Linked DNA regions of Saccharomyces cerevisiae S288C. The protein of the gene in region 2 binds, or shares a complex with, the protein of the main gene of each other region. Each region holds a gene or a part of one and is shown on either strand. Other genes may lie near its edges.

What was found.
Region 1: ISW2 (region 2) and DPB4 share a complex: the UniProt entries of both Saccharomyces cerevisiae proteins name them as parts of the ISW2 complex.

The regions. Positions count from the first base shown.
Region 1 is NC_001136.10:691,876-694,974, reverse strand, and holds DPB4 (DNA polymerase epsilon noncatalytic subunit), read right to left. Parts: upstream 1,391-3,099; coding exon 800-1,390; downstream 1-799. Other genes in the region: serine/threonine protein kinase KIN1, read right to left, coding at 1-275; TRM1 (tRNA (guanine26-N2)-dimethyltransferase), read left to right, coding at 1,714-3,099. UniProt on the Saccharomyces cerevisiae protein: As accessory component of the DNA polymerase epsilon (DNA polymerase II) participates in chromosomal DNA replication.
Region 2 is NC_001147.6:882,604-888,486, reverse strand, and holds ISW2 (DNA translocase), read right to left. Parts: upstream 3,974-5,883; coding exon 611-3,973; downstream 1-610. Other genes in the region: carbamoyl-phosphate synthase (glutamine-hydrolyzing) CPA1, read right to left, coding at 4,353-5,588; YOR302W (uncharacterized protein), read right to left, coding at 5,645-5,722. UniProt on the Saccharomyces cerevisiae protein: Catalytic component of the ISW2 complex, which acts in remodeling the chromatin by catalyzing an ATP-dependent alteration in the structure of nucleosomal DNA.

The DNA.
Region 1 (3,099 bases), on a different chromosome or scaffold from region 2:
GGTGCATTCTCTCTCGATTTACCTTCAAGTTCTACTTGTCTCTCCTTTTGCTCTGCTTGATGTGAGTTACCATTATTGGCGTATTTGATATCCGCCGGGGGCATTAGCGGTGTGTTCTGCTGCTGCTGCTGCTGTGGACTTTTTCCCATCATTCTCAGCGTAGCGGGCGCCATAGTGCTTGGTTGTGTATGCATGCTGTTGCTTTCACTATTGCCATCATCCTGCTGGTTACCTCTGCCCATTGAGAAGGCAGTATTTACGTGATAATCATCCATATTCTACGTGAGCAAAAAGTAATCGTAATAAACTGTACCTGTTTAAAAGAAGTTGAAAAAAAAAATGCGTAATAGCCCAAAATCCCTAGTATATTCAGTTGCTCTAATCGGAGCAAAGATGTTTGAATTTTACTAATCAATAGTTGGAAAATGAAAGACCGATAGGGTAGGGGGGCGAAGGGTGACAACTAATTATGTTAACTAGCCTAGGTTACCGTATGTCCTTATAATAACGAAGTAAATCTCAAAAAATTTCAAATCACAAAGTGGCTCTAACTAAACCTGCTTGATATCGTATCTCGCTAATACACTTCCTCAACGCCATAATTTCTTGTTAACGTTCCACCAATATCAACTTCTTGTCCCCTTTCTTTCCTTCCGCATTGGCGCCGCGTTGGGTTCCCCGGCTTGCAAATAACGACGATGAGTATAGCTTATTATGTATGTAGGTAATAAAGGCAAGTTACATACTACGATCCTGTGGGAGTGGTGGCAAGCACTACTAGACAGTTTCCATAGCGGGGTTACGTTTGCTCAAGGTTTTGAACTCTAGTTTCTACATCTTGGCTCTCCGTTTTCTGTTTCTTTTCGGAGGACTCTTCTACGTCCTGTAATGCATCGCCTTGTTCTTCTATTTCGTCATGCTCTTTAACCTTTTCCACGGGCACATTCTCCTTATCTTCACCCATATCTATATCGCCATCAGCATCTACTTCACCACTATCTAGTTTTTCCTTCTTCCTCTGTTCAACAGCAGCTTGGTATTCATCTAGTTTATCTCTAACCGGACCCTTCAATGCCGAGTGTCCTATATGGTCCAAAGCACTCAGAACATCATCTACACTGCAGCTTTTTTTATCTTGACTCTTTGCAATTTCCCTTGCAAACAGGAGCAAGTGGTTAACAAATACTGTAGCACCACGCTGTAACGCTAGTGATGCGTCTTTATTTATCAGCAGCTTTTTGCCGCTTTGCTGTGGCACTTCGCGTGCCAAATTCACAATAGTGCTTTTAGGAAATAACAGGTCCTGAATCGTAATGTTCTCTTGTTCTTTAATATACGAAGTAGTGGGGTAATTCCCTTGGGCGTCTTTTCTCCAACCTTTTGGTGGCATCGTGTGTAAAAATATATGGTCTGATATAAATAAGCAATGAAAGGCTTGACTTCTATTTCAAAGTATTAAATAATTAAAAAAATCCTTCCTTTCACCTAAAACCTCTAGGTAATATTCTGTGGCTTCTGCTATTGTGCCGCTATGAATAACAATTTTAAGCTCTGATGATCGAATCTGGTTTTTAACGTTATTCCAATTTGAGCCTTTCTTTATTCGTCCAAAGGGATAAAGCATTATTTTTTTTTCATCGCATTCAATGCTCATCGCAAAGTTACAGATCCTGAGCAGTCATAAGTTGATACCTTTCCTCTTACAATGTAGATATGGAAGGTTTCTTCAGGATACCCCTCAAGCGGGCAAATTTACACGGAATGTTGAAGGCTGCTATATCCAAAATTAAAGCGAATTTTACCGCGTATGGTGCACCAAGAATCAATATTGAGGATTTCAATATAGTCAAGGAAGGAAAAGCAGAAATTCTTTTCCCTAAAAAGGAAACTGTTTTCTATAATCCCATCCAACAATTTAATAGAGATCTAAGTGTTACATGCATCAAGGCGTGGGACAACCTATATGGTGAGGAATGTGGCCAAAAGAGAAATAATAAAAAAAGTAAGAAGAAAAGGTGCGCGGAAACTAACGATGATTCTTCCAAGCGTCAAAAAATGGGAAACGGGTCACCAAAAGAAGCCGTTGGTAATTCTAATCGAAACGAACCTTATATAAATATTTTGGAAGCATTGTCAGCCACTGGGTTAAGAGCCATTAGGTATGCTCATGAAATTCCCCATGTGAGGGAAGTTATTGCTAACGATTTACTTCCAGAGGCTGTCGAATCTATAAAACGAAACGTTGAATATAATAGTGTCGAAAACATTGTCAAGCCAAACCTTGATGATGCTAATGTCTTAATGTACCGTAACAAAGCGACGAATAATAAGTTTCACGTCATCGACTTGGATCCTTACGGTACCGTTACACCTTTTGTAGATGCGGCTATTCAGAGTATTGAGGAGGGTGGTCTAATGCTGGTAACTTGCACTGATTTATCCGTTTTGGCCGGTAACGGATACCCAGAAAAGTGTTTTGCCTTATATGGTGGTGCAAATATGGTTTCTCATGAATCAACTCACGAAAGTGCGCTGAGACTAGTATTGAACTTACTAAAGCAAACTGCCGCGAAATACAAGAAAACTGTGGAACCGCTTTTGTCGTTGAGCATTGACTTTTACGTCAGAGTTTTTGTCAAAGTCAAAACAAGCCCGATTGAAGTCAAAAACGTTATGTCAAGTACTATGACTACTTACCATTGTTCCCGTTGCGGCTCTTACCACAATCAACCTCTGGGCAGAATTTCTCAACGCGAAGGTAGGAACAACAAAACATTCACCAAATACTCGGTTGCGCAAGGGCCTCCGGTTGATACTAAATGTAAGTTCTGCGAGGGGACATACCATTTAGCTGGTCCAATGTATGCAGGACCTCTACACAACAAGGAGTTCATCGAGGAGGTGTTGAGAATTAATAAAGAAGAGCATCGTGACCAGGATGATACATATGGAACACGTAAAAGAATTGAAGGTATGCTATCTCTAGCTAAGAATGAATTATCCGATTCGCCATTCTATTTCAGTCCTAACCATATTGCATCGGTAATAAAATTACAAGTACCTCCCTTGAAAAAAGTAGTCGCAGGCCTAGGTTCCCTA
Region 2 (5,883 bases):
GCTTTTATTCATAAAAAAGAAAACGCGTGCTATCGCGTAACTAGGTTGCAATTAACTACAGATCGTGCCAAATACGTGCTTTTTTATATGGTTTAGAAATATTAATCAACTGAAACTTAATAATATATTCGCATGTTTTTGGAGTCTCTGGGATAGCACTTCACCTATCCTTGGAAACTTGAAATGGAGAAGTTTTAACTAAATGACTTTTTTGGCAATTGCTCTCTTATAATTCAGTACACTGTTGTTAATGTAAGTTTGTAGATAAATACAATATGACAAGTATCAAAGCAGGCTTTAGTTTTCAGCAGTTCAATTATCTTAGAATGGATATGAATTAGTTAAAGCGGCTCGACCCAGTTAGACTTAATTTGTCCTCTTCATTCACCATTTTTGCAGCGATATCACATTTCATTGAAGGGAAAAAGGTGACTGAAATATGATTACCTGTCATTTATCATTATCAAACTTGAAGATAGTGGTCAAGAAGTGGCTACGGTTCATTATATAATGCGGTCTATAAGGCTCGTTAGTTTAATTGTATTCAATGAAAAAGTAATATAAAAAATTATATCTCTCACGTCACTTATTTTAATGCACAATACATGATTCATGCTTCTTGATCAATTTTGGTTCTTTTATCAACATGATCGTTTGTATCTTTTTGATTTGTCACCATCGTCGTCGGGAGATTTGGAACCGTTGAAGCTCTAGTGCTTTCATTTTGGGATAAAGGAGTATCCTCTCTAGTCGCTGAAGTTCTACTCCTTTTCTTCTTATTTGCGTCAGGTTGCTCATACTCTCTTACAATTAAAGTTAATAGCGTATGGACTCTTTTTGATAGCTCATGCACCGTTCTTGTCTTTATAAACCAATCAAAAGTGAACAAATCACTCATCATGATTTCTTGCTTTAATTTTTCATAGAGCTTGTCAGCACGAAGTCCGTACTTGTTAACAGCTAATAATAAAAATTTATCTTCTAAGGTATTGTAAGTTCTTCTAGCATTATTAGGTGGATACTGTATTATCAGCTCATGTAATGGATGTTTACACTGTTCGATTTTCTGCCTCAATAGAGTTTCCTGGAATTTCAGTTTTTCATTTTTTTTTTCACCAAGTTCTACATTATGTAAATACTTCTCCCACCCATTGATTTCCTTTAGTCTTTCCCAGAATATTTTTGCATACACTTCAACCTCTTCTGGTGTTTTGGAATCAATAGATTTCTTAATGTTTTCCATATCATCTCTACCGTATTTGGCGCAGGCGTTGATAAACGCCATAAAGTCCCTCTTATTCCAGTTAGTAAAGGCTTTTGATATCAATTCTTGCTTTCGTAATTCATCTTCTTGGGTAAAATCCGGTGCTGAATTAATCTTCTCTTGCTCCTCCTCAATCCTTCTTTTAAGTTCCTCATGGCCTTTATGACCTTCTGTATTAGCGGCATTTTTGTATTCTCCTTCTTCTTCTTCAGCATCGCTTCCTTCATTACGTATATCTCCCGTAATATCATAAGAAGTAACCTTATAGTTGACCTTTTTCTTGAAGTAAAGCTGTTCCTTTTCTTGTAAGGCATCCAACTCCTTGGGGAAGAACTGGAAATCTTGACCGTGTATAACCTTTGGAGCGCGGGGTGCTTTTGGCTGCGGAGTTTGCTTGCTTGCTGATTTAGAGCCACCACCAATAATTTCCTTATAATAATCGTCAACTGAATAAGTGGTTTGCTCTCTTCTTCTTTCTCTTCGGGAAGGATTAATCCATTCAACTACTTTGTCGTTGGATTTTTTTTGAAAGCTTTTACCATTCCATTCGTAAGCAGATTGGTTCTCGATCCCATTGAACTTTTGTAAGTCGTCAAGTCCTAAACTTTGGTATTTGGCATTTAGTTCTTGTGTCTTCTGTTCCCCCTTTTTCAAAATATCATCGATATCAGCATCAACAGTGACTTTACTTGCTTTCTTTTCAAACATATTTTTAGCGCCAAATTGAATCATATCCAACAGATCATCCTTTGAGTTACCAAGAGATGCAGTTTTCTTGCCCGTGCCCTGTTGGATAACCAACTGGTCTAGTCTCAGCTTTTGTGCGGCACGCTCAATGACTTTCTCTTCAATAGCATTTTCTGTGACAAATCTATAAACATGAACTTGTTTCTTTTGACCAATTCTATGCGCTCTATCCATTGCTTGTAGATCAGCTTGAGGGTTCCAATCAGAATCAAAAAGAATAACAGTGTCGGCTGTGACAAGGTTAATACCTAAACCACCGGCACGTGTTGTTAGCAAAAAAACGAACTTTTCAGAATTAGGTTTATTATACTCATCGATAGCTTCTATACGTTCTTCATGGCTAGTAGAACCGTCGATTCTGCAATATTCAAAATCTCTAAAATAGCAATAATCTTCTAAGATATCCAATAGTCTCGACATTTGACTGAAAATCAATACTCTAGATCCCTTTTCCTTCAGTCTTTTCAGTAACTTATCTAATATAATCATTTTCCCGGAATTGAAAATCAAATGTTCATCGGTAGTGTATGGAGGTCCAGGTTCTGCGCCTTCAAAAAGATATGGATGATTACAGCATTTCCTTAATTGCATAACAATATTCAGTAACCTCGTTTTGCCTTCTCTTTTTCCAACAGCACCGTTAACAGCGTCTATATCCTTCTCTAATAATGATTTATACCATTGTATTTGCATGTCTGTCATCCCCACGTAAACATTCGTTTCGATTTTAGGTAGCAAAGATTTTTCGACATCCGCTTTGACTCTTCTCAGTAAAAAGGGGTTTAGTACTGAGTGTAGCTGTTGGATTACAATTTCTTGATCTTGTTCCGAATTGTTTTGTTCGAACCATTCATCAAAAAGTTCAGAATCTCCAAATATATCAGGTAATAAGAAATTTAGCAGGGCCCATAATTCGTGTAGATTGTTTTGTAGAGGCGTGCCCGTAATCAATAATCTATTCTTAGAGTAAAATAATCTAATTATTTGAGATAACGCGCTTTGTTCATTTTTGATCCTGTGAGCCTCATCAATAACAATATATTGCCAAGCTAATCTTTTCAAAGCATTCTTTTCTCTAATGACCATTTCATAAGATGTAATCAATACATCAAATCTAGCTTCTAATATTATATTCCGTACTATATCAGCTCTTGTGTCTTTATCACCATGTAACACAAGGACATTGACGTTTGGAGTCCATTTAAGAAACTCTCGTCTCCAATTATCTAGTGTTGACTTCGGTACTATTATTAGAAAGGGTCCCTCGATTTGTTTGACGTATCTCAAATAACCTAGGAATGAAATTGTTTGTAAGGTTTTACCCAGCCCCATTTCATCGGCCAAGATACCAGATAGTTTGTTTTCGTGCAACGATATTAACCAGTTTAAGCCTTGAACTTGATAGTCTCTTAATTTTCCTGACTTGACGAAGGAGGGAGATTCTGAGACGAATATGTCTTCCTGATATGTATCTACAATCTCTTCTTCCTCATCAGCCATTAATTCAGCATCTTCCTCCTTTTCTGTTTTTCTATGGTGACGTGATGACGAACTGACGGTGCTGTGTGATTTGGAAAGTTTGTTTGCATCAGAATCTAACTGTTTTAAGAGTTTTTGAATATTTTTATCATGTTTTGCCTTAATTCCAATAAAATGACGGAAAAGGTCTGTGACGCCTAATAAATATTTGAATCTTTTGTACGTATCGGACTTGTCCTTTTGCTTGGCGTATTTTGGATCTACATCAAGTACGAATTTTTTCTTTCTTTGAGCCCAATATTCTGGTGGTCTATCTTCTACTGTATATATTTCTTTATCTGATAGCTCTTCACTTTGTCCGATATTATCATCATCACTACTGCCATTTGACTTTGAGTCGAGAGTATCGACTAAAACTTCTGAAGGTGACTCGCTTTTGCTATTCTTGGTATCACTTCGTTGCTCCTCTTGCTGGGTCGTCATGATCTGATTGTAAGTTTTCCTTTTGTTACGACTTAAACCAACAAGACGGGTATTATTGGAAAGTAAATAAAACAAACCACAAAGAAAGAAAACCGTTTGCACAAACTCCTTGAGTTATGCAAATATACTTATCAAAATTTAACTGAAGCTGAAAATTTTTGAGTCTGCTTTATTTGATTTTTTTTTTAGGATGGCAGGATGAAATTAGAGCCATTGTACGTACGTTACGTTTTTTTGTTCATTTAATTACAAGAAGCGCCCGTTAATTATGACAACTGCGAGTAGATACTAAGCAACGACGAGTAGCGCAAAATACCATGAACTGAATTGAATCGTATTTAGATGTACGTATGTGTTACGTAATGTATAAATTTTGTTTTTAGAACAACACTCTTTCCTTGGCCAACTTAGTAACATTTATACTCTGCAATCTCGATTTATCGGTACTGTATGTTACTTTTAGTGAGATTGAACTTTTTGCCTGAGATTGTAATTGGTATTTTTCTATATTATCGAAGAATTTGTCAAAAAGAATAGCTGTGTCTAAGGGACCACCTTTTGCCTCTGGGTGAAATTGGGTAGAAAATATGGGTCTTTGAAGGTGTATCATGCCTTCGTTTGATTTGTCGTTTAAATTAACAAAATAAGGTTTCCATTGGTCCTTTGGTAGGGTCTCAGGATCAACTGCATAGCCATGATTTTGAGATGTAATGTGGCACTGGCCGGTAGTCAAATCCATGGCAGGGATGTTGTGAGCCCTATTACCATATTTCAATTTGTGAGTAGAGGCACCGGAGGCCAGAGCCAAGAGTTGATGGCCTAGACAAATCCCAAAAATAGGGATACAGTCATAAACAGGGTTATTTAGTAATTCCCTGACGTTGGAAATTGTAGCTTGGCATAGTTCTGGGTTGCCTGGTCCATTGGATAAGAAAATACCGTCGAATTCAGAAGCAACATCTTGAATTCTGTAATCATAGGGGAAAACAGTTACATTGGCACCTCTTTTGACTAGGCATCTGATAATGTTTTCTTTAACACCACAGTCAATAAGAGCCACATTTGCCTTAGCCTTCCCAGGTAAGGCAGAGACGTGGAAAGGCTTTTTTGTGGTGACTTGAGCAACCAAGTTAGTTTTCATGGGATTCACGTAGGGGACAGGGTCATGATCAGCCAACGTAATACGGCCCAAAGAAGAACCTTGTTCCCTCAAGTATTGCACTAGTTCACGGGTGTCTACGCCAGTAATAGCAGCAACACCTTCTCTCTGACACCATTGTGCCAGAGATTCAACAGCGGTCCAATGCGAATATTGATAAGCATATTCAGCGACAACGATGCCGACCACATGTATATGCGGAGATTCAAAATACTTCAGTAAATTGTATTCATCGCGGGCTTCGCCGGATGGGACACCGTAGTTACCAATCAAGGGTTGCGTGAAGACTAATATCTGACCACGGTAGGAAGGATCAGTCATGGACTCTGGGTAACCAACCAGAGAAGTAGTGAAAACTGTTTCACCAGCAACAGATTTGTTTGCACCAAAAGATATACCTTCAAAGGAAGGACCATTTTGGATACAGAAAGTAGCTTTTGTTGCAGCGGAGGACATTTGAAATATTTTTAGGAGTGGTTTGTGATAGAATTTCTGATTATTAAGCAATGAAATTAGTGGGAGCTAGTTTTCCAGATGTGGTCAGATATGTAGTCTTGGCAGGTGTATTGAGAGTTCGATAAGCTAAACATATAATGTTTTTTTTATTTCAAATCTGCAAAAAGGGTATGTAGAAGAGTCGATTACCTTGTATTCTTTGCAGTATTTAAACAATTAGATGTTCGAGTGTATCTATGTGTTATAGTTCTGAAGAAAAAAAAAAAAAAAAAAAAGAAAAAGAAACGACGAGTCA